Linked DNA regions of Macaca fascicularis. The protein of the gene in region 2 binds, or shares a complex with, the protein of the main gene of each other region. Links are inferred from orthologs where the notes say so. Each region holds a gene or a part of one and is shown on either strand. Other genes may lie near its edges.

Region 1 (16,550 bases), on a different chromosome or scaffold from region 2:
AGCAGCATGATTTGTCAAAGTTAATCCCTATAATTTAGTAAGAAAAAATGGATATAAACAAAATAAGTGCTCTTTCTAAACTGTACTAAATTTTCAAAAATATTGTTTTAATGCAGTGAAGGTCCTGAAAAGCCTATTGAAAGCAATGCTGAGTCCTGTTTTCAAAAGCGTCTTGTTGTTTGGGTTTTCTTGGTGAAGACCAAAATTTCAAGTGAAGTAATCGACGGACTAATTTAAAACAAAACAGCCCTCGGCTTCCTTCTTGGCTTGTTAGGGCACCGGCTCTGGGACCCTGACCTGGGAGGCAGTGAGTGGTGGGGGTGCCTGGCCCCCATCTACACGTACACAGGCTGGCAGCCTTCGGTCTGATCCACCAGATCTGAGGTTTCTAAATCTGAGTTCTCAGACTGTGAAGCTTCTGCTCCTGAAGGCTTTGGGCATCGAAAGGGGTAGCCATTGTCATCAAAGAACCGCCGGAAGGTGAATTCGTAAAATGCGTGCTCAGGGTGCTTGTTACTGGGGGAGGTGAGCGTGTCCCAGGCCTTGGCGCTACCTTCGCTGGCATCGTTCCAAGGGCTTTCTTCATCGACGGGGTCGAAATTCGAGGTGTCCATGGGGTGGCTGATGGTGGGAACGTAGGGGGCCGGCTGCTTCCGGATGTCACTGGAGAAGTCAATAGCGCTGAAGAAGGGGTGGGCCTTCAGGTCGTCGGCCCCATTCCGCCCCAGGCGGTGGTCTGCAGAGCAGCACAGCTTCGTGATGAGGTCCCTGGACTCGGGGCTCAGCTTCACCTGGGCTGGAATGTGGAGCGTGTTCTCCCAGTTTATCACCTGAGGAACAACAGAACCAACGTGTTAGGTTCTCCTCACATCTTGGGCAGTTCTGGGACAGCATGTGATGACATGACTTTCAAATAAGTGTAATTTCACAACAGGAGAGGAGTTAGAATAGACACAGAAGCAGCAGTTGTTGATCTCAGCGGCCATAAAAAGTCAGTGTCCGCCGGGCGCGGTGGCTCAAGCCTGTAATCCCAGCACTTTGGGAGGCCGAGACGGGCGGATCACGAGGTCAGGAGATCGAGACCATCCTGGCTAACACCGTGAAACCCCGTCTCTACTAAAAAATACAAAAAACCAGCCGGGCGAGGTGGCGGGCGCCTGTAGTCCCAGCTACTCGGGAGGCTGAGGCAGGAGAATGGCGTAAACCCGGGAGGTGGAGCTTGCAGTGAGCTGAGATCCGGCCACTGCACTCCAGTCCGGGCTACAGAGCAAGACTCCGTCTCAAAAAAAAAAAAAAAAAAAAGTCAGTGTCATTTCAGTTGATGGCTCACAGCCTGAGGCCAGAATGACCAGTCAAATGCAGACAAAAAGATACAGATTTTCTTCTATCACAAATACTGTTTAGCCAAAGAATGTTGTGCTTTCCATAAAAATGAAGAGAATGATGGTCTACGAGTTATTTTATTTATTTTTTTATTTTTATTTTTTTGAGATGGCGTCTCGCTCTGTCACCCAGGCTGGAGTGCAGCGGTGCGCTCTTGGCTCACCACAACCTCCGCCTCCTGGGTTCAAGCGATTCTCCTGCCTCAGCCTCCCGAGTAGCTGGGATTACAGGAGCCCGTCACCGTGCCCGGCTGACTTTTGTATTTTTAGTAGAGACAGGGTTTCACCATGTTGGCCCGGCTGGTCTCGAACTCCTGACCTCAGGTGATCAGCTAAAGTTATTTCTTTAGCTATGGCAATGGATTTCTGTCAAACCATCATGGCACTCATTCAAATACTTACTGTGGTCAAAAAACAGCCAACTAGGGTTTTGAAAAACAAAAAGGGCCGGGCGCAGTGACTCACCTGTAATCCCAGCACTTTGGGAGGCCGAGACGGGCAGATCACAAGGTCAGGAGATCGAGACCATCCTGGCTAACATGGTGAAACCCCGTCTCTACTAAAAATACAAAAAAACTAGCCGGGCGTGGTGGCGGCGCCTGTAGCCTGTAGTCCCAGCTACTCGTGAGGCTGAGGCAGGAGAATGGCGGGAACCCGGGAGGCGGAGCTTGCAGTGAGCCGAGATCATGCCATAGCACTCCAGCCTGGGTGACAGAGCAAGACTCCATCTCAGGGAAAAAAAAAAAAAAAAAAAGGAAAAAGAAACCTCATAGAGAAGAATAAAGCTGGCTGACCCCATGTGACCTTACGTGCTCCACTGCACAGACCAGCCATCTGGACGTTCAGTAAATGCGCTTGTTGTAGAGATGTGTCTACTGTGAAGACGAAACCTAGGGCACTTCTTTATTGTTTACACTTAGCGTCAGGAGGAAACAAGGCCAGCATGACTGGCTACCAGCTGGGGTGACAGGACAGTGGATAAAGCATGGAAGTTAGTGGGTGTATGGGTGGGAGGCTTGGTTTGAACCTAAGTAGTGTTTTCATAGAGCTAAAACTGTAGAGCTCCTAGAAGAAAACATAGCATGAAATCTTCGTGATGTTGAGTTTGGCAGTGATTTCTTAGACATGCCACCAAAAGCACAGGGAATAAAAGAAAAAATAAATTGGACTTCATAAAAATTTAAAACTTTTGTGCATCAAAGGACATTACTGATAGTGAAAAGGCAACAAAATGGGAGAACAGATTTCAAAGCACATATTTGAAAAGGGGTTAGTATCCAGAGAATATACAGAACTCCTACAACTCAACAACAATAACAGAACCAAATAACTTGATTTATAAAGAGTAATGGACTTGAAGAGATATTTCCAAAGATATACAAATGACCAATAAGGACATGAAAATGAATTCAATATAATTAATCACTAGGGAGATCCAACTCAAAACCACAATGAGATACCACCTTACATCCCCTAGAGTGGCTACTACTTAAAAAAAACAAAAACAGGAAAATACTTACTGAGGATGTAGGGAAACTGGAACACTCAGCCACTGCTGGTGGGAATGTAAAATGGTGCAGCCACTATGGCAAACGGTTTGGGAGTTCCTCAAAAAGTTAAACACGGAATGACCATATAATCCAGCAATCCCACTTTCTGGTTTATATCCAAAAGAACCAGAAGCAGGGACTCATACAGTGGAATATTATTCCACCTTAAAAAGGAAGCTGCAACATGGATGAACCCTGAGGACATTACACTAAGTGAAATAAACTAGACACAAAAAGACAAATACTGCATGATTCCACTTGCAAGAAGTCCCGAGGCCAGGCATGTGGCTCGCACCTGTAATCCCAACACTTTGGGAGGCTGAGGTGGGTGGATAACTTGAGGTCTGGAGTTTGAAACCAGCCTGACCAACATGATGAAACCCATCTCTACCAAAAATACAAAACTTAGCTGGTGTTGTGGCAGGCACCTGTAATCCCAGCTGCTTGAGAGGCTGAGGCGTGAGAACCCGGAAGGCAGACGTTGCAATGAGCCAAGATCGTGCCACTGCACTGCAGCCTGGGATACAGAGCAAAACTCTGTTTCAAAAAAAAAAAATAAATCGGCCGGGCGTGGTGGCTCAAGCCTGTAATCCCAGCACTCTGGGAGGCCGAGGCGGGCGGATCACGAGGTCAGGAGATCGAGACCATCCTGGCTAACACGGTGAAACCCCGTCTCTACTAAAAAAAAAATACAAAAAACTAGCCGGGCGAGGTGGCGGGCGCCTGTAGTCCCAGCTATTCGGGAGGCTGAGGCAGGAGAATGGTGTAAACCCGGGAGGCGGAGCTTGCAGTGAGCTGAGATCCGGCCACTGCACTCCAGCCCGGGCGACAGAGCGAGACTCCGTCTCAAAAAAAAAAAAAATCAGTCAGTCCTGAGCAGAGCCAAACTCACAGAGAAGCAGAAGACAGGCGAGCAGGCGCTGGAAGGGAGAGTGGGGAGTTTCTGTTTAATGGGTTTTTGGATGATTAAAACATTTGAAAATAGAGGGTGGTGATGGTTGCACAATATTGTGAAGGTACTTAATGTCACTGAATTATACACTAAAAAATAATTAAAATGGTAAATTTTATGTTATGTATATTTTACCAGAATAAAAAAATCTGAATTATCATGTGGACAATTTAGTGAGTAGCTCAGCAATTCAGTCAGGGCGTGGATAATGACAGATTCCAATTTTACTGTTCCTAGAGTGAAACTAGGCCTTACTTTAGGGTTTTTCTACTTTTCTTTTCTTTTTTTTTTGAGACAGAGTCTCGCTCTGTCGCCTGGGTTGGAGTGCAGTGGCGTGATCTTGGCTCACTGCAACCTCTGCCCCCAGGGTTCAAGTGATTCTCCTGCCTCAGCCTCCCAAGTAGCTGGGATTACAGGTGCCCGCCACCATGCCAGGCTAATTTTTTGTATTTTCAGTAGAGACGGGGTTTCACTATGTTGGCCAGGATGGTCTCGATCTCCTGACCTCATGATCTGCCTGCCTCTGCCTCCCAAAGTGCTGGGATTACAGGCGTGAGCCACCGTGCCTGGCCTTACTAGATGGTTTTTTCTAATTAAGGTTATTAATTTAGGCTCCTTGGTGATCATGGCCACTAGGACATGTGAAAACTCCTAGGACTGTGTGTCAGTTGGTATATCCACTGAAGACTGCAGATTCTCAATTCTAATTCTCAATTCAATCCTTAGTAACTCAATTCAGAAAGCAAATGGCTGTCATTTTAACACTAATAATTTAGTATCAAGTGAATGACAGATTTAACTACTTTGAATATTACGAATATGCACAACTAGCCTGACCACACAGCTGACAGTTTGCAAACAATGATATCATATCCAAATAAAGAAACGGATTTCTTTAGATGTACAGTTGACCCTTGAACAACAGTTTGAGGGTCACTCACACTAGCATTTTCTTCCACCTCTGCCACCCCTGAGACAGCAAGGCCAATGCCTCCCCTTCCTCAGCCCATTCCACATGAAGATGACAAAGATGGAGACCTTTATGATGATCCACTTTCAATTATTAAAATAGTAAACCTATTTTCTCTTCTTTACGATTTTTTTTCTTTAGAAAGAGTCTCACTCTGTCACCCAGGATGGACTACAGTGGTGTGATCTCGGCTCACTGCAACCTCCGCCTCCCAGGTTCAAGCGATTCTCCTGCCTCAGCCTCCGGAGTAGCTGGGATGACAGGTGCACACCACCATGCTGGACTAATTTTTATTATTTTTAGTAGAGGTCAGTTTTGCCATGTTGCCCAGGCTGGTCTTGAACTCCTGACCTCAGGTAATCTGCCCACCTTGGTCTTCCAAAGTGGTGGGATTATAGGCATGAGCCACTGTGCCCAGCCTATGTTCCTCCCAAAGTAGTGGGATTACAGGCACGAGCCACTGTGCCCGGCCAGCATTTTCTTTTCTCTAGCTTGCTGTATTGTAAGAATACAGGATCTAATACATATAACATACAAAATGTGTGTTCATTGACTCTATGTTACTGGTAAGGCTTCCAGTCAACAAACTATTAGTAAAGTTTTTGGGGAGTCGAAGGTTCTATGCTGATTTTTGACTGTGCAGGGGGCTGGCACCCCAACCCTCCACTGCTGAGGGGTCAACCATAGTTCCTGGAGTTCCGTGTGTTCTCTGCAGGGCAGGCGTGGGGCAGGGAGACGGTGGGTCTGCAGCACACCTTTGCTGACCCTCACTGTTCTTGCCTGGAAATATAAGGTGGCAGATGGCCAAGGATTTAACAGAATTTCAGATATTAAAATGGGCCCAATTCCACGGCTTTGCTTAACAAAATAGAAAATTTAAAAATAGATAATAATTTAAAAAGTAATGAGATTACTTTTAAAAATCCCATCATATACAACTGCCATTCCTACCCTACTCAGAATAAGAGGGCGAATGCTGACCAAAGGTTCACGGGTACATGAGAAAATCAGATGTCTGCAGCAAGCAGATGCGTGGTTCCTCTCATATTACCTTCAGCTGGGTTTCTGTGGGAGTTGGTGCCAAAAAGGGCGGCTGTCCCACCAGCATCTCGAAGAGAATCACTCCAACACTCCACCAGTCACAGAGCTGAGTGTACCCTGCAAGACAAAGTTCACTCAGTCCCTACGCAGGCACGAATTCTCCTCCGAGGCGAGTTTCGGCAGATGGACCTTTGTAAGTACCTGGATGCTAATGGGTGGGGGTGGCAGCCGTGGCCGCTTAGGTTTTCGTAATTTTAATCATTGTAATAAGAAAATACTTTTTAATTTAAAAAGATTATTTTTAGTGTTAGCAACTAGTTACTAGCCAGAATTTTATGTTCTTAAAGATCACAGACAGAGGCACCAATTAAAATAACGGAAACTGAAAACCATAAAGTACTATAACCCGTGAACAGTCAGGGGAGGGTCTGGGCAGCTTGCTGGGAGGCTTCTACATCAGTTTTGGATGAAGCTGAAGCCTATGGAGATGAGGAGGGCGTGGGCAAAACCCACCAGACAATTCACGGTAAGCCGAACGCTCCTTGTGTGAGGCCCCCACGGAGCTGGGCCTTCCTCACGGGCTCCCCGTGCTGGGTCAGGGCTGGCCTCTGGGAGGCTGTAGGCTGGGCTCCTTTACCTTTCATTTTCTCCCACTTTTCCTTCAGGGCCTCATGGCCCATCAAGCCAGGCTCGTCTTGATGTCACCTAATCCTTGCTAAGTATAAACTGGGATGTTAAGAGGTCAGCCCGGGGGTGCCTGCAGCTGCATATGCCAGGGTAGCCCCCTCAGGCCCCTCTGTTATCTCCCTGTCCCACCTCTTTCTGCCCAAGTTTGGCACCAGACGCTGCAGAAAAACCCCAAGCAATGGCTCCTTGGGAATACTGCACGCGGCAGAGGGAAGCAGACCTTCACTGGGCACCAAGGTTATTCACAACCTCTCAAGGTCATTATTGCTATGTCTGTGGTCCGAGCAGTTAAGTAACTTGCGCTGGATTACCACAGCTAGCAAAGAAAACCCAGACTTGAACTGGGTCTGGCTGGCTCCAAAGACTTTAAACAACGTGTGGCGGCAGGAGCTGCCTGTCTCTGGATTAATTACACAGAATCAGATGAACACCCACCGTCACTGTGGACCATGCAGGATCACTGAAGGAATCCTCGTCTACTGAGCCAGATGTATCTGACAGAATGGAGCATCCACCCAGGAGACAAATTTTATGAGCACTGGTCATTTGACACAACTGGCACCTGCCACTTTTGCTATGGTCTAGCAGGGAGAATGAGAGAGAAAGGACCTTCCAATGCTGTCACATAAGCACCAGCTGCGCACAGCACAACTCAGCCAGGAGCCTGGGACAGAAGTGAAAGCTAGAGCCCGGAAATGTGTGGTCTAGGCACACTGAGCAGAGGTCCCGTGGCCCTCAGAGTGGTTTCCATCATTTGACTGTGAAAATGAGGCCTGGAGTCATTTCCTTGGGTCTAGGTAGAGACTGAGGGCCAGCAGACACTGTCTAATGGTGCATGTCTTCCAACCCCCTGAAGCAAGAGCATTTCCAAGGCAGAAGGGAGGCCTGTTATGTTGCGGAAATAAGTAGTTTTCAGGCTTCCATGAGGACAAAAATATGACTGGAAGCATCAGGTCCTTGGAAAGCTAGAGCCAAGGAGACTCAGCTCACAGGTCTGAAGAGACGGAGACCTCCCGTGGGGTGGCTGGCTGTGGCGCACGTACCTTTGCGAAGGAGAACCTCGGGCGCGATGTAGTTTGGAGTCCCCACCAGTGAATGTGCCAGGCACCTCTGGTGCTGCTTCCGCGCCCTCTGCTCCAGGGTCTTCAGCCTGTCCCCACACCGACAGTTAGACACGTCGTCCCAGAGGTCGCTGGGCTCCATGCTGTCCTGCCTGACATGGCTCCCTTCACCCAGGAATCGGGGGTGGTGAAAGAAGAGAACAAAACACAAAGTGAATTTTCACTCTTCAACAACTCAACGGATCCACAGCTTAAAACAGCAAAGTCATTCCAATCAGCTCCTGCCATATCAGGATAGAGAATCCCCGCTGAGCTGCTCCATACGGGCAGCCTGCTGTCCCTAGTTCGGAGACACGTGGTGAGGTTGGCGCTAGCACCAAGGTGGAAACGACGGTGAGGAATCATGGGAAACCACGCACCGTGCTGAGCTGGCAGGAAGGCACTGCAGGCAGGAGAGGCTGGAAGAACGGTGGGGACAGCTTGTAGCCTATTGTCTTAAAAATATAGTAGGCCAGGTGCGGTGGCTCACTGCACCTGTAATCCCAGCACTTTGGGAGGCTGAGGCAGGTGGATCACCTGAGGTCGGGAGTTTGAGACCAGCCTGACAAAAATGGAGAAACCCCGTCTCTACTGAAAATACAAAATTATCCAGAGGTGGTTTTGTATTACAGTGCGTGACTGTAATCCCAGCTACTCAGGAGGCTGGAGACAGGAGAACCACTTGAACCCGGGGGGTAGAGGTTGTGGTGAGCCGAGATCATGCCATTGCGCTCCAGCCTGGGCAACAAGAGCAGAACTCTGTCTCAAAAAAAAAAAAAAAAGTAAACCTGAAATCCACTAACTTTAAAAAAAAAAATTCATATATCATTCTATTCCTTTTGGAAGGGAAGGCTGTCACACCGATTTATAAAAGAATGGAGTGACGGATAATTTCGAAATGATTAGGAGCCACTAGGATGGGATACTGAGCTGCTTGCCACGGGGTGAGTGATGTCTACACAGAGAAAATGCATGCGGCACACTCAAGACAATACCTTTCTGGTAATATTTGGAATTGTGAGTCCACCTGAACCCAGTGCAGAGGCCGAAATCTGTGAGTTTAATGTGACCATCCAGATCTATCAAAATGTTATCAGGCTTGATGTCTCGGTGGATGAAGCCCATCTTGTGGACGCTCTCAATGGCCAAAGTCAGCTCTGCGATGTAGAACCGGGCCAGGTACTCGGGAAAGACCTCCATCCGAATCAGCAGGCTCATCATGTCCCCACCAGGGATGTAGTCCATCACAAAGTACAGGCTGTCTTTGTCTTGGAAGGAGTAGTAGAGTTTGACCACCCACTCATTGTCTGCCTCGGCCAGGATGTCCCTCTCGGCCTTGACGTGGGCCACCTGATTCCGGTTCAGGACATCCTTTTTCCTTAGGGTCTTCATGGCGTACAAGGCATGAGTGTCCACCTTACAAGCAAGGCACACTTCTCCAAAGGCACCGATCCCCAGGGTTTTGATTTTGACAAACATAGACTTGTCCATCTTGGCCCTCTTAAGCCTGTTGTAATTAGACTCTTTCTGGTAGAGGATCTTCCGCATCTGTTCCTGCTCAGCTTCACAGAGTCCAGCCTGTGCAGACGGAAAGGAAGGAGGAAGAATCACATTAGAGAAGTCCCATGATAACATATGACTGGGATGGGGAAGCCCTGGAACCTAACTCGTTTTACAGAAAGGAGAACAGAGAAGAACGGGTCTCATATACTACAAAGCAAGGTGACAACTGGTTTTGTTTTGTTTTTGAGACAGTCTTGCTCTGTCACTAGGCTGGAGTGCAGTGGCACAATCTCAGCTCACTGCAGCCTCGGCCTCCCGAGTAGCTGGGACTACACGCGCCCACCATCACGCCTGGCTAATTTTTGTATTTTTAGTAGAGACAGGGTTTCATCATGCTGGCCAGGCTGGTCTTGAACTCCTGACCTCAGGTGATCTGTCCACCTCGGCCTCCCACAGTGCAGGGATTACAAGTGTGAGCCACCGTGCCTGGCCAGTTTTGTTTTTTTATATCAATATATAGACATGAATTTGGAATGAAAAATTAAGACAGGCCAGGTGTGGTGGCTCAAGTCTGTAATCCCAGCACTTTGGGAGGCCGAGACGGGCGGATCATGAGGTCAGGAGATCGAGATCACCTTGGCTAACACGGTGAAAACCCGTCCCTACTAAAAAATACAAAAAACTAGCCGGGTGAGGTGGCGGGCGCCTGTAGTCCCAGCTACTCGGGAGGCTGAGGCAGGAGAATGGCGTAGACCCGGGAGGCGGAGGTTGCAGTGAGCTGAGATCGGGCCACTGCACTCCAGCCTGGGCGACAGAGCGAGACTGTCTTTAAAAAAAAAAAAAAAAAAAAAGTTAAGACAAAAAAGAGTGTTCTTTCTCAAGGAGACTTTTGCTCTAAAAACTAAGGGAAACTTCTATTAACAAAAATCTGTGGGAAAGGGGACCACAGCAGTCCTAGAACTCCAAGAGCCATCTAATCTTTCAGCAACTTAGGGAAAATGGAAAAGCAGGAAGAAAAGTCAATGATCAGCATACAAAAATCAGTAGCACACATTAGACAGACTTGTATATGGTGAGAGACAGGGTCTAGTTTCATTCTTCTGCACGTGGATATCTGGATTTCTGTACACCAGTAACGAATACCATTTACAACAGCTATAAAAAAAATCTAGAAGCAAATTTAACCAAAAGTGAAAGAGCTCTACAAAGAAAACTACGAAACCCTGATGAAAGAAACTGAGGACACAGACAAATGAAAAAAGATCCCATGTTCACCGACAGAAAGATTTAATATTGTTAAAATGACTATACTACCCAAAGCAATCTACCAATTAAATGCAATCCCTATCAAAATACCAATGACATTTTTCACATTAATAAAAAAACAACACTAAAATTCATAGGGAGCCCAAATAGTCAAAACGATCCTGGGCAAAAAGAACAAAGTTGTTACCCGACTTCAAAATATATTACAAGCCTAGAGTAACTGAAACTGCATGGTACTGGTATACAAACAGACACATAGACCAACGGAACAGAATAGAGAACCCAGAAGTAAGTCCATGTATTTACAGCCACCTGATTTTTGACAAAGGTGCCAAGAATGTACACGGAAGAAAAGACATGCTGGGAAAACCAGACATCCATATGCAGAAAAATGAAACTAGACCCCAATCTCTCACCATATAGGAAAGTCAACTTAAAACAGATGGAAGACCTAGAAACAAGACCAGAGGCTACGAAAATATACGCCAGGACACTGGTTTGAGCAAAGATTTTTATGGATAAAATCTCAAAAGCACAGGCAAAAAACCTCAAAATAGACAAATGGGACTATATTAAGCTAAAAAGCTTCTGCATAGCAAAGGAAACAACAGAGTAAAGAGGATACCTGTGTTGAACAGGAGAAAATATTCACAAACTATTCATCTGACAAAAGACTATTATTCAGAATATACAAGGAACTCAAACAACTCAACAGCCAAAAAAAAAAAAAAATCAAATAATCCTATTAAAAAGTGAGTCAAAAGGCCGGGCGCGGTGGCTCATGCTTGTAATCCCAGCACTTTGGGAGGCTGAGGCGGGCGGATTACTTGAGGTCAGGAGTTTGAAACCAGCCTGATGAACACGGTGAAACCCCGTTTCTACTGAACATACAAAAATTAGCTGAGCATGGGGTCGCACCCCTGTAGTCCCAGCTCTCAGGAGGTTGAGGCAGGAGAACAGCTTGAACCCAGAAGGCAGAGGTTGCAGTGAGCCGAGATTTCATCACTGCACTCCAGCCTGGGTGACAGAGCGAGACTCCGTCTAAGTAAATAAATAAATAAAAAGGTCGGGCGATGTGGCTCACGCCTGTAATCCCAGCACTTTGGGAGGCCAAGGCGGGTGGATCATCTGAGGTCGGGAGTTCGAGACCAGCCTGACCTACATGGTGAAACCCTGTCTCCACTAAGAATACAAAATTAGCTGGACATGGTGGCTAATGCTAGTAATCCCAGCTGCTTGGGAGGCTGAGGCAGGAGAATCACTGGAACCTGGGAGGCAGAGGTTTCGAGATCGCGCCATTGCACTCCAGCCTGGGCAACAAAAGTGAAACTCTGTCTCAAAAAAAATAAATAAATAAACTAATTAGAAAAAAAAAAAAAAGTGAGCTAATGACCTGAATAGACACTTGTTAAAGGAAGACACACAAATGGCTAAGAGGTGCATGGAAGGGTTCTCCATTAACCATCAGGGAAATGCAAATCAAAACCACAATGAAATATAATCTCTTCCCAGTTAGAACAACTATTAACAAAAAGAAAAAAAAAGAAACTAAAAACAGAACTACCATACAATGTACCAATTCCACTACTGGGTATTTATCTAAAGTAAAGGAAATCAGTATATCAAAGGGATACCTGCACCCCATGTTTACTGCAGCACTCTGCACAATAGCAAAATATGGAATCAACTTAAGTGTCCATCAACTGATGAATGGATAAAGAAAATGTGGTCTGTGTACACCATGGGATACTATTCAGCCATAAAAAAAGAATGAAATCCTGTCATCTGGAGCAACATGAATGGAACTGGAGGTCATCATGTTAAGTGAAATAAACCAGGAACAGAAAGTTCAGTACACACGTTGTTACTGATATGTGGGAGCTAAAAGAATTAATCTCATAGAGGCAGAGAGTAGAATGATAGTTAGCAGAGGTGGGAAAGGGTGTGTGTGTGTTGAGGGGAGATGAGAGGTTAATTGATGGAAACATATAGCTGGACAGAAGGAACAAACTCTAGGGTGACTACAGTTAGTAAAAATGTATTCTGTATTTCAAAATAGCTAGAAGACAGGACTTGAAATGTTTCCAACACAGAAATGATAAGTACACCAGGCATACCTTGACTTGATCATTACATATCCTATGCATGTAACAAAATATCACATGTACCCCACAAATACACAAATACTACGTATAAATAAAAAATGAACGGCTGGGTGTGGTGGCTCATGCCTGTAATCCCAGCACTTTGGGAGGCTGAGGTGGGCAGATCACCTGAGGTCAAGAGTTTGAGACCAGCCTAACCAACATGGTGAAACCCCATCTCTACTAAAAACACAAAAAAATAGCTGGATGTGGTGGTGGGCACCTGCAATCCCAACTACTTGGGAGGCTGAGGCAGGAGAATCGCTTGAACCCAGGAGGAGGAGGTTGCAGTGAGCCAAGATTGCACCACTGCACTCCAGCCTGGGCGATAGAGCAAGGCTCAGTCTCAAAAATAAATAAAAATAAATAAATAAGCACATATAAATGAAAGGTAAATATTTAAAAAGTCAATGAATATGGGACACTGGAAAGAACACAAATCTGGTTTCTACGCTTTGGAATTACTGGCTTTGTGTGATTTAAATCTGTTACATTTTAATTTAAATAATTTCACCAATAATTACCTTCTTCAGCACTTTAGTGTCAACTAAGGTATACTTAAATCATTAGTTACTAATTAAACACTTAAAAAGAATAAATGGAATCACTACTATATTTTTCTTCCAAAATCTCACAATATCAATTTACAAAACCTTAAACTTTGTTTCTACTCATTCAAAATGTTCTATTATTAATCCGTGATGAATTTTGTTAAGTGAGTACATACCCTAAAACTCAATTTGCTAATTTACCTACAATGTAAATTGTAGATTACCTACATTACGCTGGCTACATTATGCACAGCTACCTCTGATTCTTCAGAAGAGTCAAGGGGAAAGGAGAAAGGGAGGTCACACCATTTGCAACCTCTCCAAGTTGTTGGCCCCAGAACCAGACTGCCGCCCGTTAGCCGTGTTGATGACAAGGGGTGTGCGGCCGCAACAGAAAAGGGATCGTGCGCGCTTCCTATTACCAGTGTAGGGAAGAGCCGGGAACAAACAGGAAAAACGAAGTGGGAAATTACTTTGGCCATTTCTTGCTCCAGCTGCAGCCTCCGGTTAACCTTCTGCTGGTAGGTTTTGATGACGTTCTCCACGTGCTGCTCCATGAAGAACTTAAAGGCGTATGGCGAGTAGCTCTTGATGCGTGACTCTCTCTTCTCCTCGTCTCTGCTGTTTTTGCGGACGGGGACGGGAGAAGTCTGGATCTGCTTTTTATCCTTCCCGCCTTTGTCCCCCTTGGCGCTTTTGCGGCTCTTCTCACCGCCCTCGGGCTCGCTGGGGCCCGCACGGAGGCTCTGCTCCACGCCCGCGCACAGGCTGTCCAGGTCGTACTGCTCGGACTTGCTGCGCAGCAGCAGGTGCTTCGGGTAGGGCGGAGGCGGGCACCTCCGGTCTGGGCCTCCGTACTCCACGTCCAGCGGGTAGGCGCCTGCGCCGCCCAGTGCCAGGGCGTGCTCCTCCTTGGCGTCCAGGCCCTCCGTGGCCGGGGCGGGGGCTGGGGCAGGCGCGGGCACCCAGGCGGGGTGCGAGGGCCCCACAGCCGTCTGCGGCTCCGGCCTCAGCACTCGCACGCTCTTCACCGGGTGCAGGATGTGCGCGGCCGTGACAGCCGTCACGGTGTTGGGGGCGGGCAGGGAGGGCTCGGCCTTGCCGGGTGCGCCCGGCCGCGGCTGGTGGCTGTTGAAGGAGTTGGTCCTGCTGGGCACCGGGCAGTCAGGCCGGAAGGCCACGTGCGCGCGCGGCGGCGCCTCCAGGCCCGGCTTCTGCAGGGAGTCCCGGCGGGCCAGGGTGGCAGCCGGCCACTGCTGGACGGAGGTGCTGCCCAGGTCATACAGGTCCACGTTGAGGCTGTTCCGCGAGGGAGTGAGCAGGCTCTGCGGGGGGCTGTCGCCGGCGAACACCTGGCTGCGGGAGCCCAGCACATGCAGCTGGTGGGCCGTGGGGCCGGCCTGCTTGTGGTGTGGGTGCGGCACGTAGAGCCCGGCGGTGGGGGGCGGGAAAGCGAGGCCGGCGCCTGGTGGGCCCCCCTGGCCCTTGGTGGGCAGGCTGGCGTAGCCCCCGGTCTCCGGCGGCGTCTTGCCCTGGAAGGAGGGGCTGCGCTGCACCCCGTAGCCCAGGGGCTCCCCGTGCACCAGCAGGTGCGGCCGGCCGTAGTGCGTGCCCTGCAGCGGGAAGTGTGCGCCTGCTGCCTCCACGCCGGCGCCGTAGCCCTTGGGTGGGTGCTGGTGTTGGTGCTGGTGGCCGGGCCCGTGGGGGCCGACTCCGGGGAAGAGGTAGTCCACGTACGGCCGCGGCACCTCCTCCAGCGCAGCGGGGCCGTCGGCGCCGAAGCTCGGGCCCTCGTAGGGGGCACCGCTCAGCTGGTGGTAGGACGCGAACGAATCGCTGGTTCCTTCGAAGCTGGGCCTCCGCGTCACAGGGGCTGGCATGAGCCCCTTTCCTGCCGTGGAAAACACAGGAAGACAGCATCAGAGTGGGTGTGAGCAGTGGGTTCCGGCACTTCCAGGCTGGTCCCCACTCGAGCGCTGCCCCTGGGGCTGAGGGTCTTGAACCCTGGGCCCTGAGGTGCTGCATTCTGCCCAGCACAGGGTCAGCGGACTCCCCTCTGCCCTGCCAGCAGGACCAGTCGCCCTAATGTGTTAAGAGAGTGGAGACAAGCTGGAGGCCAAAGGGCACATGGGAGGGCCAAGGGCAGAAGAGAAGACCGCGTCCGCATGCTGAGTTGCATCCTTGGCCCCTGGGGACAGCACTGGGGTCACTCTCCTGTCAGGCTAGGGAGCCATCTGCATAGCCAGCTTTGTTTTCTTTTTTTTTTTTTTTTTTTTTTTTGAGACGGATTCTCGCTGTGTCACCCAGGCTGGAGTGCAGTGGCCGGATCTCAGCTCACTGCAAGCTCCGCCTCCCGGGTTTACGCCATTCTCCTGCCTCAGCCTCCCGAGTAGCTGGGACTACAGGCGCCCGCCACCACGCCCGGCTAGTTTTTTTTTGTATTTTTAGTAGAGACGGGGTTTCACCATGTTAGCCAGGATGGTCTCGATCTCCTGACCTCGTGATCCACCCGCCTCGGCCTCCCAAAGTGCTGGGATTACAGGGTTGAGCCACCGCACCCGGCCGCCAGCTTTGTTTTCAAAACCCTATCATGCCAAATTGTGGGAAGCTGGGTTTACCCCGCACGGTTCCCCAGGCGCGGCTCCCTCACAGAAAGGGCGGACCTGTTTCCACTGTGCAGCAGCTGCTCCACTTTCTTTCACCTCTTTTCCAAATTAAAAGATTTTCTAGTTTTTTTGGTCTGTATCAAAACAAAGCAACATATGCACAACAAAAACCACACAAAACTCCTCTACAAATATCCAGACTGATTTCATCTGCTGCTACCTTAATCCTGACCTCCATTTTGAACATCTCATCTGGAACAGACACCGGAAGGAAGGACAAAGGCTCCTTTCATTTCTTTAGACCAACTGCTCCACTTGGCTGGACTTAGCAGAGGGTGCCGAAGGGTGTGCCTTGCCCACAGGAAGACCACCTCTGATACGTGGCAGTGAAGGCCCTGACAGCCTGGCACTGAGCAAGTCACAGGCAAACCAAGGCTTCACTTTCCCTGGGCTCAGAACACATCAATGAACAGACCCGCCAAAGGCAAGTGCAGAGGGAAATCAGCATGGAACATGGGCCAGGCCTCCCTTTGAGCTGTGCTCTAAGACCTCAAAACTGGAAGAGCCCTGACATGGAAGGCCAGCTGGGGACTATTTAAGGAAGTTCCTTCTCTTAAGAAGAAGATAAAAATGTGTGTCCTCTTAACAAGGGAGATACAAGTTACAAAGGTGAGATTTTCTCACCCACGACATGAAGTAGGTTTTATCCAAGGTCTTCTACAAAATCGGGAAAACTCTTGATAATTACTATGATTGTTTTTTTTTAATTTTTTTTTTTTTTTAAATAGAGACGAGGTC
Region 2 (15,282 bases):
ATAACTGCTTGACCAGGTAAAGTCTCTTAACCAAAAAGAGGATTGGCTTGTAGACTTTTGGAAAAGAGGCTGATAGTTCTTCTATCTAGAGAAACAAGCAAGAAAACTAAGCTCTCAACAGTTACGAGAAACCAGGAACTCAGTGTGTGAGAGTGGTAGGAGTGGCCTTCAGGGATGAGCTCAAGGTGTCCCAGCCGGGAGGAGCACTAAGAACAGCCCACAGTTCCTAAAGCCTTCCCTGGGCTTCCACAGAGCCAGGAAGTGGAGAGGAAGAATTCGGATGGCCTCTGCAATTTCTTCGCAGTGTGCTACGCCCACATCTGGTGCTGCTACTGCTCCCTGTTAATGCTTGCTACCCACCCCACTCCCCACTCCTTTTTCTTTCCTTCCCCCTCTCACCCCTGCCTTGCTCCAGCAACAAGAAAGGAAAGGTTCGGGGCTGGCGAGCCAGTATGCTACCTTTTATGTCAAGGCCAAGGATGCTCTACCCATACAACACCCAGTTCCTAGAGCAAGCAGAGCCATTCGGCCCAATGGGGTCATAAGGAGGGTTGGCTATATTAACTACCTATTAAACTTAAGTAATTTAGCAGCCATCTTCAGGGCTGGCAGTGCAGACCAGAGGTCGCCAGGGAGGCTCTAGCCACTTGTTTTAATTGTGGGAGACGCCTTTCCCGCATATGCAATCTCTCTCTGTGATTTATCACTTCCCCGGGTGTTTTTTTAACTGTTCTACTTCACTTCACCGGCTCTGCAACTCCAAGGGGAGCCCGCACAAATTGAAGATGACATTGGACTTTTATGTCTTCCTGATCCAAGAGAAGCTGCTGGCGCTTGAGATAAATGTCAAGGCTCCTCTTCTTCCTGTTCCTCCATCAGTGGAAACCACAGCTGGACCTTGACGGTTCAAACCATTTACTAATGAAATAAGCTTTCTAAGCTCCACCACCCCCATGATTTCTCATCCATCAATTTCCTTGGAAATCCTGTGCTCCCTGGGAGACCACAGGCACAAAAGTGATGACTTTGTTTGCTGACACTCAGACCAGCTCAGGATTGGGAGACTGAAACCCCTCTTTTGAGAAAGGATGAAAGAAAGACCCTGAATGTATATATTCCAAGACTGCATTTTACCTTCAAGGTGTGGTGGTACAGTTATGCCACACCAAGCCACCACTCCCATCATCAGCACTGTGGCTCTGAAGGCACAAAAGTCAGGCTCAAGGCACCCTGTGTCCCCCAACCCCAGCCTGACTGCCAGACTCATCCCCCTCACTTGGAAGGCTCAGATGCCAGGACACGTGTCGCTCCCACTGAGAATGAAACAACTCCAGGTTCCCTAGGGTGGCTTCTGATCGCTAGCACTGCTCTGACTCAGATGCAAATGCCAAACTAGTTGTACTGATCATCAATTGGGAAAAATGGAAATATAGGAAGTTAAGATTAGCAAGAGGAGAAAAATATATCCTTGCAAACCCAAGTCAAATATTACAAGGAACCAGTGAAGTTAATTATGGCTATTTATTTATTTATTTATTTTTGAGACAGAGTCTTGCTCTTGTTGCCCAGGCTGGAGTGCAATGGCATGATCTTGGCTCACCGCAACCTCCACCTCCCAGGTTCAAGCGATTCTCCTGCCTCCGCCTCCCAAGTAGCTGGGTTTACAGGCATGCGCCACCACACCCGGCAAATTTTGTATTTTGGGTAGAGATGGGGTTTCTCCATGTTGGTCAGGATGGTCTCGAACTCCCAACCTCAGGTGATTCACCTGCCTCGGCCTCCCAAAGTGCTGGGATTATAGGTGTAAGCCACTGTGCCTGGCCAATTATGGCTTTTTAAAAGTTTTTACTTCCAGCCACGTAGCAATTAATACAATGAATGAAGATGCCCAGCACAAGCTGTGTACCTAGATTTGGCGGTGTGGCCCACATGCTGTCCTTCGCCCTTTGCTGCAGGATCACAAGCAGATTTTCCCTTTTCAGAGTTTTAACCCCTTACTGAGCTCTGACTGTGCACTGAGTGTTTCATGCACATTCTCTCATTTATCCCTCACAACAGTCCTGGGGGCAAAGACTATTTTTATTCACCTTTTGAAGGTGAGGACACTGTGCCTTGAGAGAGTAAGAATTCATCCTTTTTTATGGCTGCATGTATACATATGTAACAAGCCTGCACGTTGTGCACATGTACCCTAGAACTTAAAGTAGAATTAAAAAAAAAGAGAGAGGGGCCGGGCGCGGTGGCTCACGCCTGTAATCCCAGCACTTTGGGAGGCCGAGGCGGGCGGATCACAAGGTCAGGAGATCGAGACCACAGTGAAACCTCGTCTCTACTAAAAAATACAAAAAAAATTAGCCGGGCGCGGTTGTGGGCGCCTGTAGTCCCAGCTACTCGGGAGGCTGAGGCAGGAGAATGGCGTGAACCCGGGAGGCGGAGCTTGCAGTGAGCCGAGATCGCGCCACTGCACTCCAGCCTGGGCTGGGCGACAGAGCGAGACTCCGTCTCAAAAAAAAAAAAAAAAAAAAAAAAAAAAGAGAGAGAGAGCGCGCGAGCGAGCATAAGAATTATAGAAGGCCGGGCGCGGTGGCTCACACCTGTAATCCCAGCACTTTGGGAGGCCGAGGCAGGCAGATCACAAGGTCAGGAGATCTTGTGAAACTCCGTCTCTACTAAAAATAGAAAAAATTAGCCGGGCGCAGGGGCGGGCGCCTGTAGTCCCAGCTACTCGGGAGGCTGAGGCAGGAGAATGGCATGAACCCGGGAGGCGGAGCTTGCAGTGAGCCGAGATTGTGCCACTGCACTCCAGCCTAGGCGACAGAGCGAGACTCCGTCTCAAAAAAAAAAAAAAAAAAAAAAAAAGAATTATAGAAAAAGGAAGTGGCAGAGAAGTAGGAACCTCGGTTAATCCGACTGGATAGCCGCTCAGCATTCCTGAGGAAATGTGGTAACCCTTCATAACCTAAGGGCAAACTCCTTGAATTAGCTTCAATGTTACACAGCCCCCATGGGTACTGCTGAAATCACACAGCAGACTCTGAGACCTCTCAGTGAGGCAGAAGAGTACTGAAACCGAGGACAAACACAATGGCCGGGCGAGATGGCTCATGTGTGTAATCCCAGCATTTTGGGAGGCTGTGGCGGGAAGATCCACTTGAGCTTAGGAGTTCGAGACCAGCCTGGACAACATGGCGAAACCCATCTTTACAAAAATAAAAATTAAAAAATCAGTCAAGCGTAGTGGCAAATGCCTGTAGTCCCAGCTACTTGGGAGGCTGAGGTGAGAGGATCGCTTGAGCCCAGGAGGTTGAGGCTGTCACCAATGTGGGTGACAGAGTGAGATCCTGTCTCAACAAAACAAAACAAACAAAAAACCTCATTAAAAACAAAAGAGGGCCGGGCGCGGTGGCTCAAGCCTGTAATCCCAGCACTTTGGGAGGACGAGACGGGCGGATCACTAGGTCAGGAGATCGAGACCATCCTGGCTAACAGGGTGAAACCCCGTCTCTACTAAAAAATACAAAAAGCTAGCCGGGCGACGTGGCGGGCGCCTGTAGTCCCAGCTACTCGGGAGGCTGAGGCAGGAGAATGGCGTAAACCCGGGAGGCAGAGCTTGCAGTGAGCTGAGATCCGGCCACTGCACTCCAGCCTGGGGACAGAGCGAGACTCCGTCTCAAAAAAAAAAAAAACAAAAAAAAAAACAAAAAAAAAAAACAAAAGAGGCCAGGCACGGTGGCTCACTTTTATAATCCCAGCACTCTGGGAGGCAGAGTTGGGCAGATCAGTTGAGCTCAGGAGTTCAAGACCGGCCTGGGCAACATGGTGAAACCCCATCTCTACAAAAAATACAAAAATTAGTAGTCTCAGCTACTTGGGAGGCTGAGGCAGGAGGATCACTTGAGCCTGGGAGGTGGAGGTTGCAGTGAGCCAAGAACGTACCAGCCTGGGTGACAGAGGGAGATCGTGTCTCAAAACAAAATAAAACTAATATCAATGCAGGCTGGTTTGATCCCAGATTAGTGAGCTTTTGGACACTGGAAACTGTTCCATTCACTACCAGCTTTTGCATCTCATCCCCAGGCATTCTAGATGGAGTTCTGCCCTTGACATCTAGGTATTCCCACATCCAAGCCTAAAGCAGCACTTCTCTTCAGCTAGGCTTGTGCCAGCCAGACTGCAGCATGCACCACCCCAGAGCCACCCTAGTGCAGGCATGTGGCTGCTCATCAGTCCCGGTCACTGACCACAGGGACTGCCAAAGTCTAGAAAATGGAACGTGCACTGAACTTCATGTGCAGCAAAATTTAGTAGTGCAGCACTATTTAATCTAGTGATGCTGAGAGAACGCCTGTCATATTAAACATCAAGTCCATGCTTTTATTAACCCTTGATTAACCCGAGTGTTTGATTAACTGCCTGGCAGCCTGCTTTAAAAACAAGTTCACATCAAGACATTAAAATGAATGAATAAATAAATGCATCCATGTATGTCCTAGGAGCAGTGCAAATTTAACTAAAAATGAAACTTCTTTTGTCTGCAGTAAAAGCTCAGTGTGAAATGACAGTCAGAATCAGGACCCTGAAGAATTTCAGCACTCTGCATCATTATAGAAGGAAGAAAGAAGAAATCACATTCGGGCTGAGCAGCACCTTCCCATGGAGGGAACACCTGGCAGCACTGGGTGAAATGCAGCGGGGTTTTCTGCTTGTCCTCGTGGTTACAAAAAGTTCAGTAAACCAAGGTGGGTCCACCTGGCTGCTCTGGGTGCTGTGAGCTGGCCTGCCCATGACAACGCTGGCCATAACTGCCCTGCTCAGAGCACGGACTGTTCTGTATCAGGGTATCAATGCCAACATGGGTATGAAAGCTGAAGAAACAGGAGCCCGCTAAATGAAAGTGTCACATACAAAACAGGGTTCATGTCATGGATTCTTGGAACCACTGATGGCTCAAGTGTACCTTTTAATAAGATCTATCAGGGACTTTAACAGCTGACCTCTCTTGATGGGATAACGACCACAAGTAGGATCTATCTTATGCCAGACCTCTTTTTGGTAGGAAGGTTCCAATTAGCTTATTCTACTCTATGAGCAGAAACTGCGGGGAAGACTCCAATGGACACATCCTACGCTGCTGTCGGGTGGTGTGGAGCTTGTTGGCATGGGTACTACTGGGGATTAGGTGAGAAGTAGAGGCAGGATGTCATTTTATTGTTGGGCAAAATACATTCTCTCTACTGCCTAGGCATGCTGGAATAATAACGAACTGTTGCAGGAGAAAAGCAGCAAACATTCAGTTAATTCATTCAGCAACCAGTGACCGCTCCTCTCCGGGGTGCCATGACTGTACTGTTCCAATGTGAGTTCACTCTGACCACATCTCTGCTCAGCCTGTGGAGTGGAAGCTGAAGCAGAGGCGGCTGAGCACGGACGAACAGGCAGTCCACTCCCCGTGGACTCACAAATCAGACCCCTGTGCTCTGGGTTTGCTTTATTTGAAAGGAAAAGGGCTGTGTACAGAAAGGGAAAGCTCTAAAGGAAAATGAGCCAGCACAGGCAACCCCTTCGCCCCACGACCAGAAGCTGCCAGGAGTGACCACGGGTCTTGAGAGGCTGTCACCGCGTAAAAGGTCTTGATCTCGAGTTACAGACATCAGTCTCAAAAGTGCCCAGATTGACCCCATTTCCATGCTAGGAGTATGCCACCAAGACAAAGGACTTATAGACACACCTGACTGGACAAGAAGCCATAACCTTCCCCAGCCCAACAATGACACGAGATGGGAAGAACGGCCGGTCCTACAGCCCCATGACATGCTCTTCGGAACGAGGCAGTCTTCTGGGGCCCTGGAGGCTGGTCTGGCTCCACAGGGCGGGTGCCTGCTTTTAGACTCAAAGCATGCTGCGGCCAGTACCCAGGCACCACCTGCCCTCGTAAGGGCTCAGTGTGGCCTGAGGACAGAGACAGGCAAGCTCATGCACGGGTTAGTATCACAGAGGGCAGTGCCATCACCACAGAGAGAATACCTGGGAACAACCTACTTTGAGGGCTCAAATGCAGATAGGTCTTCTGCCTTGGGCTTGAGGCTAAACCAGCAAAATAAAATGAAGAAAAACAAAAACATACCCTGTGATATCAACAATGCCATAAGTGCTATCTGCAAAATGCTTGGATAGGCCTGAAATCGTGACGAGTGATCTTGTTTGTTTTAATGGCTTGGAACGGGGTCTCTCCAGCTTTCACACTGCAGGTTTCTGTGGCTGAAGGCCCCCCTGCTCATTGCAGCCGCAGTGGAAATGGTGAGACTGTTCCGGGGACCCAGATGACAAGGCTGGGGGTAAGGGGTGAGATGGGGTGTCTAAGGCAGTTCATTTAAGGGCTGACTGGCTCACTGGCTCAGTCATTGTTTTACCTCTTTCCTTAATGGCTGAGGCCTCCCTTGAACTTCTCTTTACTATTTAATAATTTTGTTTTGGAAGGGAAGCCTGGTAAATTACAGAAGCCAGAGAAAAGAAGAATGTGGAATGTGGAAATGCCTTTCCTTCTAGGTTGCACTATTAAAAGGAATTCTCTACCCAGTGCCAGTTCTGACTGGAGTCGAGAGGTAAAAGTCAGGGCTGCCTGCTGTATCCAGTAACGATGGCAGGTAGAAACAGATCCCCTGGAGTTTTCAGATACAGCTTAACCACTAAAAACAGAGACAGTCCGTAAAACTGGAAGCCCATTTTAAAGACTGAGGTAAAGAGTAAAAAATTAACTGCATCAGTATCACCTAAAGTCAATGGACAGTTTTATCTTTTTGTTTGTTTGTTTGTTTTTGAGACAGTCTCGCTGTGTCTCCCAGACTGGAGTGCAGTCACACAATCTCGGCTCACTGCCAGCTCCACCTCCCAGGTTCACGCCATTCTCCTGCCTCAGCCTCCCGAGTAGCTGGGACTACAGGCACCCGCCACCACGCCTGGCTAATTTTTTTGTATTTTTAGTAGAAGTGGAGTTCCACTGTGTTAGCCAGGATGGTCTCGATCTCCTGACCTCGTGATCCACCCGCCTCGGCCTCCCAAAGTGCTGGGATTACAGGCGTGAGCCACCACGCCCAGCCCAGTTTTATCTTAATAACACCTATTTTATAGGTGTTAACCTGATCCTGGGCTATCAGTTAAGAGCAGAGCATTATTTGGCAAGAGAGGACCCTTCTGCTTGGCCCAAATGAAAAAGGTATACTCTTGGGCTGATAATTAGTATGAAATTTAGCTTCTGAAACTCAACAATGCTGAAAGCTCAAAATACCAATAGAGAAAGATATGAAACCATTTGCAACATAATAAAGTCTTCTCTTTCAAAACAAAGAGGTTCTCTCCTAGACACTTCCTTTTAAGTATGAAAAAAGTTAAAAATTCAGTTTGGTTTTATAGTCCTTGCCACTTAAAGACACAACAAGACTAGAGGGAAAGTGCATTCTCAATAGCCTCCATTTCATTCTGCTTTCTCATAAAGTAAGGCAGCTCCCTGGGCATAACACCCCTTGGCTTAAAAGGGCTTTATGCTTTACTGCTAAATGATGAATCAAAACCCCTGTGTAACAGGGGTTCATTATGTCAGAGCTTTTAACACAAGCTCAACTGCCATCCAGCCAATGGGTTCCTAGTCACTGGCAGATTACATTCCCTTTCTGGCATAAGTTTAAAAATTTCCTCAACTAAGTACATACAAAAGATGCTAACAGTCTAGTGACTTGGCTACTGAGAAAACCAGATGCCAACCTCATATTTCATTAATGATGGTCCTGATCAGCAAAATACAAGAAAGAGACCCTGGGTACCTTTTTAATGGTATTGTGCTTGCTGCTGCCACCCCTGTCGGAGTTCTCATTGTGCAGAATATCCAGAGCCGTCTCCCTCTCTTTCAGTTTCAAGGCCTCGATTTCTGTCTTGAGTTCATTGAGCTGCTCCTGCAGATGCTTGCTCTTTTCCATGTATTCCACTCTGCCGGCAAGAGGGTATCATGCATCAGGGCTTGGGCGACAGTGAGATACGGCTCAGGTGCTCTGTGGCCCACAAGCTGCTTGGTGCAGGATCTAGGGTTTGAGGCCTGAGGTTCACATCTTTACTTGGCCACTCACAGGCCGTGGAGCTTAGGCTGGTCACTTAAGTGCTATGAATGTTTCCTCATCATTAAAATTGGGATAATGATCACAGGGCCGTGGTCAGGATTAAATTTTTAAAAAGTGGAGGCTAGGCATGGTGGCTCCACCTGTAATCCCAGTACTTTGGGTGGCTGAGGCAGGAGGATTGCTTGAGCCCAGGAGTTGGAGACCAGCTTGGGAAACATAAAGAGATCCTGCCTCTATTAAAAAAAAAGAAGAAGAAAAAGAAAAAGAAAGAGTAGAAAAGTCCTTGGTAAATTCTCATAGGGGGCTCTACAAATACTAGCTGTCACAGACAGCTTTTCGTTCTGCACCAAAAAAAAAAAAAATACATGAAACAAGCTTCCTGGGAACCCAGAACAATCTCCTTGTCTCAACCCTTCTTGGAGCAGTAATTCAAGTAAACTCATTTTTTTTGATAGGATCTTGCTATGCTCCCCAGGCTGGCTTTGAACCCCTGGCCTCAAAGTGCTGGGATTACAGGCACAAGCCACAGCGCCCAGCTTCACGTGATCTCTTTTGATAGGCCACATCCACAGTCCCACTTGTTCTGAGACTTCATCTAAAGATGACAGAAGCTCACTCAGAAGCTCACCCAACGCAAGGAAGAAAAGATCCCTACCCTCACCTGAGAACAGACACACTGAGTGACAGCATCTATGATGGTGAAAGTCTGGAAACCACCCACAAAGCGTCCAACTACAAGGCATGGCCAGAAAAACCGTGCAATACAAATACCAAAAACATTCCATAGGGATTGCCATGGTTAGTATAGAGACTGCCAATATGTGCAAGGGTAAGAAGTGCTATGGTCTGAATGTTCGTGTCTTCAAAATTCATATGTGGAAACCTAATTGCCAGCTGGGCGTGGTGGCTCATGCCTGTAATCCCAGCACTTTGGGAGGCCAAGGTGGGCGGACCATGAGGTCAGAAGTTTGAGACCAGCCTGACCAATATGGTGAAACCCTGTCTCTACTAAAAATACAAAAGTTAGCTGGGCGTGGTAGCATGGGCCGGTAATCCCAGCTACTCAGGAGGCTGAGGCAGGAGAATTGCTTGAACCCAGGAGGCAGAGGTTACAGTGTGCTGAGATCGCACCACTGCACTCCAGCTTGGGCAACAGAGCGAGACTCCGTCTCAAAAAAAAAAAAAAAACCACAGGCGTCAGGAGATGGGGCCTTTGGGAAGTCACGAGGGTAGAGCCTCATGAATGGGATTAGTGCCCTTATAAAAGAGACTCCAGAGAGACCCTTCATCCCTTCCACTGGGTGGGCACACAGCGACAAGGGCTGACTATGAACCAGGAAGAATGCCCTCACCAGACTCCACCTCTGCCCGTGCCTTGATCTTGGCCTTTCCAGCCTCCCAAACTGTGAGAAATCAATTTCTTTCTTTCCTTTTCTTTTTTTTTTTTGAGACAGGGTGTCTCTCTGTTGCCTGGGCTGGAGTGCAGTGGTATGATCTGGGCTCACTGCAACCTCTGCCTTCCAGGCTCAAGCAATCCTCCTGCCTCAGCCTCCCGAGTAGCTGGGACCACAGGCATGCGCCACCACACCCAGCTAATTTTTGTATTTTTAGTAGAAATGGGGCTTCGCCATGTTGCCCAGGCTGGTGTGAACTCCTGGCTCAAGCGATCTGCCTGCCTTGGACTCCCAAAGTGCTGGAATTATAGGCATGAGCCACTGTGCCTGGCCAAGAAATAAATTTCTGTTGTTTATAAGCTACCTAGCCACTGGTATTTTGTTACAGTAGCCAAAACAAACTAAGATAGTAACAAAATACAAACTATAAAATAGCAGAATAGCTTCACCCTGATCCCCGATCCCAACCACATAAATATATATGTCTGGATAATGGTGAAAGGAACATGGACAGCAGATATGACAGCTAGAGGCTCTGGTTCACTGGCTACTTAGCTATACCCTCAATGTGAAAGCCCAAAGAAAAACAGCCTGGATTGTGGTTGCCCATACAGGACTCCATGGAGACACTTTCCCCAAAGGTTTTTCCTGAGGATACTACCCTTGGTAAAAGCACATGGGCTGCAGAGTCAGATGGGTGAGGGGTTTCAACCCAGGGGCTCCTCTGCATCAGCTGTGTGATGCTGGGGGAGTTCACTAAACTCTCTAAATCTGAATTCTCCCTTATAAAATGGGAACATGAAAACCTACCTTTGATGTCAGTTTGATGTTTGTCAGTTAGTAGGAATTAAATGAGACAAAAGCCAAAAACCCTGACACACAGGCACTCAATGCATGGTAGCTGCTGTGGTTGTCCTCCGGCAAGCAGTGGCAGTTAACCAACTTACCACTAGCTCTGGGAACTAGGGGCCCTTGCTTAGACTTCCTCTGCAGTGGGGATCCTTTCCTTTCCATCTCTGATCCACTTCTACCCACCATAAAGGGAAGATGGAGGGCAGTTCAGCAAAAGCTGCCATGATCAGGCCATGCTGGGGCCCTGCCCAGTGCCATCCACTGCAGCAAAGTGGCCCCACCAGCTGTCAGCTTTCCTTAGCCTTGAGCCTGAGTCTCTTCTCTAATCTTTCTTTGTTCTAGACAAGGGAACCACCGTAGATCCCAGTCACTGGAAAACTCAACTAGGAGGCGACTACAGTCCAGTAGTATAACAGCAGTTGAACTGACTCAGAGATGCTAACAACCCAGTCCTACACTTTAAGTGAGGTTTAGAGCCATCATAAACTCCAGGTCACTAGTCAAGTGTTATTTTTATTCATTCAGAATGAATGCTGATCTGTTGTCCCTTAATTTCCAATTAAGGAAATTCTTCCTCCAGCAGGTAAGAGCAGAGCAAACCTTTGTAGGAGCTAATGACAGGCTGTTTCAGCAACCCCTCACCTCTGCCCCAGCTTCCCAAGGCCCCAATCACTCACTCTGGTTCATGGCTGCCCACAGCAGGGCACAGGGGGCTACATACTTTTCTTTCTCTATCTCCATGGAAAGTCGCTTCATGTCAGTATCCTTGAAGTCGAAAGACAGGCTGTCACCAATGAGGTTGAAGCTTGGTATGTCAGGAGGCAACGGTGCTGGAATTGGGTTCATGGGCTATTAATGAGAAATTTCGGATTAGGAGCTTGGGTCATACAAGAACAGAGGGGCACTACTGTGTTGACAACTGATCCTCCAGCAGCCACAGCGGCGATAGGCACAACTCAGGTCCTATCTCCCAATGCCACTATGAGCCCCTCCACTTCAGTCCCTCCACATTTGCCACTGCCAGGTGAACAATACCAAAGACTACAAATCCAGGAAAGTCATCCCTCACCCCTCAAATCTCTAACCGTTCTTCACGCTCAGCTGAATCAAACACAAACTCCCACTCGCTTTTTCATTTAGGAAACTCCCGGGCCCTGTGAGAGGGGCTGGAGATGCAGAAAACAAGACAGCATCCTTGGCTTTGAGCAGCTGAAAGTTGTGTTCAGGAAATAGATGTGTTCACAGATCATCACTGTTAAAAAAGGTAAACACTGTAGCCAGGGAGCGAACAGAGGCTAGAAGAGATGCTGCTTTTGCTGGGATCCAAGACAGTGCCACGAGAAGGTTTGCCAGGTGGGAGGTATGGCAATGGGTGGGGCACTGCCCAGCGAGGGTGCCAGGAGTCTGCCATACAGTGTGGAGAGGTGGGGTGGGAGATGGGCACCACCACAAAGGGCTCCACCTGCCCACCCAGGGGCTTGGGATTGGACAATGGAACCGGAGTAGGTCTTGAAGCAGGGGTGGTGTAGTTTTTTTTGGTTTTTGTTTCTGACTTTCATCCCAGAACAAAGGGTCATCTAAAGAGGGCCCCAATCTAGCTCCCTGGCTTCTCCTACTATTTGCCCTACTAAGTCACAGTCAGTATTGTTTATTATCCCCTGGACTACTGCCTTCCCATCTCTGTACCCCTGCCTATCCCATTTCTCCTCCCTATGCTCCATCGCTCTTTCAAGGCCCTTCTCAAACACCATGATCTCTCACCAAAGCCTTTCTAGCCCCTCCCAGCCAGCCGGCAACCCTTTTCTTTACTGTCCCTTAATGCTGTGTTTACAGTTCTCTAATGGTTCTTCTGCAATTCCACCCTGTAAAAGATTTCTTTTTGGCTGTATCTTCTTTCTACTATTTGCAAGTTTCCTGTAAACAATCTGCCTCTTTTTCATCCTTGGATCCCGTACTGAGTCTAGGACACTGTCTGGGAAAGAGCAGAGGCTTGGAACATTCATTTGAGACATTCTCAAGGCCTGAGGCAGACTGTCTGCAGGGGTGCTGAGAGACAGCTCCTGGGGTGCCAGGGATGTCCTGTTTTCTGATCTGGGTGCTGGGTACATAGGTATGTTCAGTTTGTGAAAATTCTTCAAGCTGTACAGTTGTAATCTGGGCACTTCTCTACATGTATGTTATACTTCATAAAAATTTCCAGCAAAAACCAGTACTAGTTGCTGCACCATCAGTGAGAGCATGAACTGGTACAACTTCTTTGAAGAGTATCAAAATTGAAAATTTGACCCCATGGTTCTATTATTAGAATTTATTCTACCAATATATTCACTTGTGTGTGTCAAGATTTGTGTTCAGGGATGTTCAGTGCCATTTTGTTCAAAATTGCAAAAGAAAACAGACTAAATACTCATCCGTGAGGGACTGGTTAAATGAACTGCAATCCATCCGCACAACAAAACATGATTAAAAAGCTGATATGGATGATCTCCTCCAGGATTGACTGCTAAGAGGAGAGAGCAGTTACAGCAGTGTATAAGCTTTGCTCCAGTGTATATTTTAAAAACAACACATAGAGGCTGGGCACAGTGGCTCATGCCTATAATCCCAGCAGTTTGGGAAGCTGAGGCAGGCAGATCACTTAAGCTCTGAAGTTTGAGACCAGCTGGGGCAATATGGCAAAACCCTGTCCCTACCAAAAAAAAAAAAAAAAATTAGCTGGGCATGGTGGCACATGCCTGTGGTCCCAGCTACTCAGGAGACTGGGGCGGGAGGATCGCTTGAGCCTACCAAGCGGAGGTTGCAGTGAGCCGAGATTTTGCCACTGCATTCCAGCCTGGGTGACAGAGTAAATAAAACTCTCTCTCTCTCAAAAAATAATAATAATAATAATAAACAAAATAAAAAATAAAAACAAAACACACATCTCAGGTGTTCAGCCCAGCTGAGTGCTCAGACGACTCCAGTCCCAGCTACCATCTGACTGTGACCACCAGAGAGATCCCCAGCAAGGATCTCTGTCTGGCCCAGTCAACCCAACAAGCCACCAGAGGTATAATAAAGGGTTGTTTCGGCCACACAGTTGGCTTGGGTGGGTTGTTACATAGTAACAGAGAACCAGGATATATGGCAACAGCAAACTGCTTACGTTTTCCCCACCTCAAACCCTGGGCAGCTTGTGGCTCTGGTGCCCTGTGTGCATCTGGGTCATGTATGTGCCTGTACCATGTGCTTGAATGTAAGTATGGGTACGTGTGTGTGTCCGTGCTGTGTGTGTGGATGTGCCATGTGCATGAATATATGTATGGGTACATGTGTGTGTCTGTGCTGTGTGTATGGATGTGCCATGTAGATGACTGTGCTGTGTGTGAGTCTGGGCCATGTGTGTGCATCTGTGCCCTCACCCTAAATACCCTATGTTCTCTTCTCTACCTGGCTACTTCCTGCTCCCCCTTCAAGCATCAGTGTAGACACCATATTGAGCCTGTCCTGCCCCTCCAGGCTGGGCTGTGTCCTCCTCCTCTAGGCACCTGTGCACCCTGAGAACACCTGTCAGGACAGAGACTTCCAACTGTGTGGCACTATGTGGACACTGAACAAATACGCAAAAAATAAAAATAAAAAATAAAATGCCAAACTGAATGCACAGAAGAAAGGAGGGAAAGAGGTTTCTATTCATTTTGTGACCCCATTTAATGGAAGTCTGCCTCTGTGTCCCCAAACTGAGAGTGGCTGCTCGTTCTTGCATGGCAGTAATTCACTCTGAGGTGTACAGCCAATCCCTTCCCAGAACTATAATTATGATATATGGTACATACTGATAGTTGAAGATTACATTCAGCTCAGCATTAAGAGGCAAGAGAGCAAATTCGCTTGAGGATAATTTGGGACTATATTACGTAGAACAAGAAAAACATTCCAGAGCTGGAAAAGGCCCTGTTGCCTGTTATCCAGGCAACCAAAGAGACAACTAACTAGTCCAAAGCCAAATGGCAGACCAGGATGTTCTACCCGGTCCCTAACTGCAGGCTCTCTGCATCTCTCATCCTGCCATGTGTTTGCTTGAATGGTCACCCTGAAGGCACCGCCAGATGAACTGAAGGGCCGGGAGGAAAGAGAACATCACCCACCAGGACTAAGGCGGCCCCAGCTGGTGGCCCCCCAGGCTCACCGGGTACGTGGGCTTGGTGGCAATCTCCAGGAGCTTCTGCTTGGCTCTTCGCTCTGCCTCGCGTGCTTCCTGCAGGTCCTGCTTCAGCTGATCTGCCTCTTTGGCCCTGCAAGGAAAGAATGAGATGTCAGCTTCACAGAAGAGGGCAGGTGGTAGGAAAAGACCCCACACCACCCCTGCAGAGGAGGGACCTGGCCTAACCCTGAGGATGGCACCTGAAGAAGTGAAAAAGGACAGTGAGACAGGGACATTTACATGAAATCAGAACTTCCAAAGCAAGGACAACATTCCTGAGATTTTTCATTTGAGTTGGTAAATCTAAACTGGAAGAGCAGGAAAACTGAGAGAAACCAGACCTTCTACAGCCAGGAGACGGAGGAGCTGGAGGGGGCACCAGCAGCTTTCTCTGCTTTGTTTTTGGGTGAGAGTGAGCTGGGCAAAGGAAGAGCCCAGAGGATCAAAGTTCTTATATTGGATCACAAAGGGCAGAATATACAAGAACTGCATCTTCACAGCCTCTGGATAAAACACTGGTGGGCCTTGTGCCCACTTTCTCCAGCAGGAAGATGAGCCCCGTCACTGAGGGCACCCGCACCCTGGTGCAGATCGTCACCCTATGGGGCTCAGGGTGGACACGGCATGTGAGGCCTGGCCCGACCTGCATCATGCACAGCGAGTGTGACCCGCATACAGCAAGGGGCCTGAAGCAGGGCAGGCAAAAGGGAACCATATTCCCAGAACAACATGCAAAGAGTGGTGA

What was found.
Region 1: the proteins of NF2 (region 2) and LATS2 are in contact, whole or in part, in a crystal structure (PDB 4ZRI), measured with the Homo sapiens proteins. The link is inferred for Macaca fascicularis from reciprocal best matches to the Homo sapiens genes NF2 and LATS2. Residues at the interface, in NP_000259.1 of Homo sapiens: Pro135, Glu136, Ala137, Val139, Leu140, Tyr144, Asn175, Leu176, Tyr177, Gln178, Met179, Trp184, Arg187, Trp191, Glu206, Lys209, Ile210; in NP_055387.2 of Homo sapiens: Tyr73, Ala76, Leu77, Glu79, Ile80, Arg81, Ser83, Leu84, Leu85, Phe87, Ala88, Asn89.

Annotation. Positions count from the first base shown.
Region 1 is NC_088391.1:932,643-949,192, reverse strand, and holds part of LATS2 (serine/threonine-protein kinase LATS2), read right to left. Parts: intron 15,038-16,550; coding exon 13,620-15,037; intron 9,261-13,619; coding exon 8,678-9,260; intron 7,809-8,677; coding exon 7,626-7,808; intron 6,013-7,625; coding exon 5,906-6,012; intron 831-5,905; coding exon 336-830; 3' UTR 1-335. UniProt on the Homo sapiens protein: Negative regulator of YAP1 in the Hippo signaling pathway that plays a pivotal role in organ size control and tumor suppression by restricting proliferation and promoting apoptosis.
Region 2 is NC_088384.1:21,985,964-22,001,245, forward strand, and holds the end of NF2 (merlin), read right to left. Parts: intron 14,629-15,282; coding exon 14,523-14,628; intron 11,204-14,522; coding exon 11,076-11,203; intron 7,981-11,075; coding exon 7,818-7,980; intron 6,085-7,817; coding exon of another isoform or gene 6,083-6,084; coding exon 5,972-6,082; 3' UTR 5,868-5,971; downstream 1-5,867. UniProt on the Homo sapiens protein: Probable regulator of the Hippo/SWH (Sav/Wts/Hpo) signaling pathway, a signaling pathway that plays a pivotal role in tumor suppression by restricting proliferation and promoting apoptosis.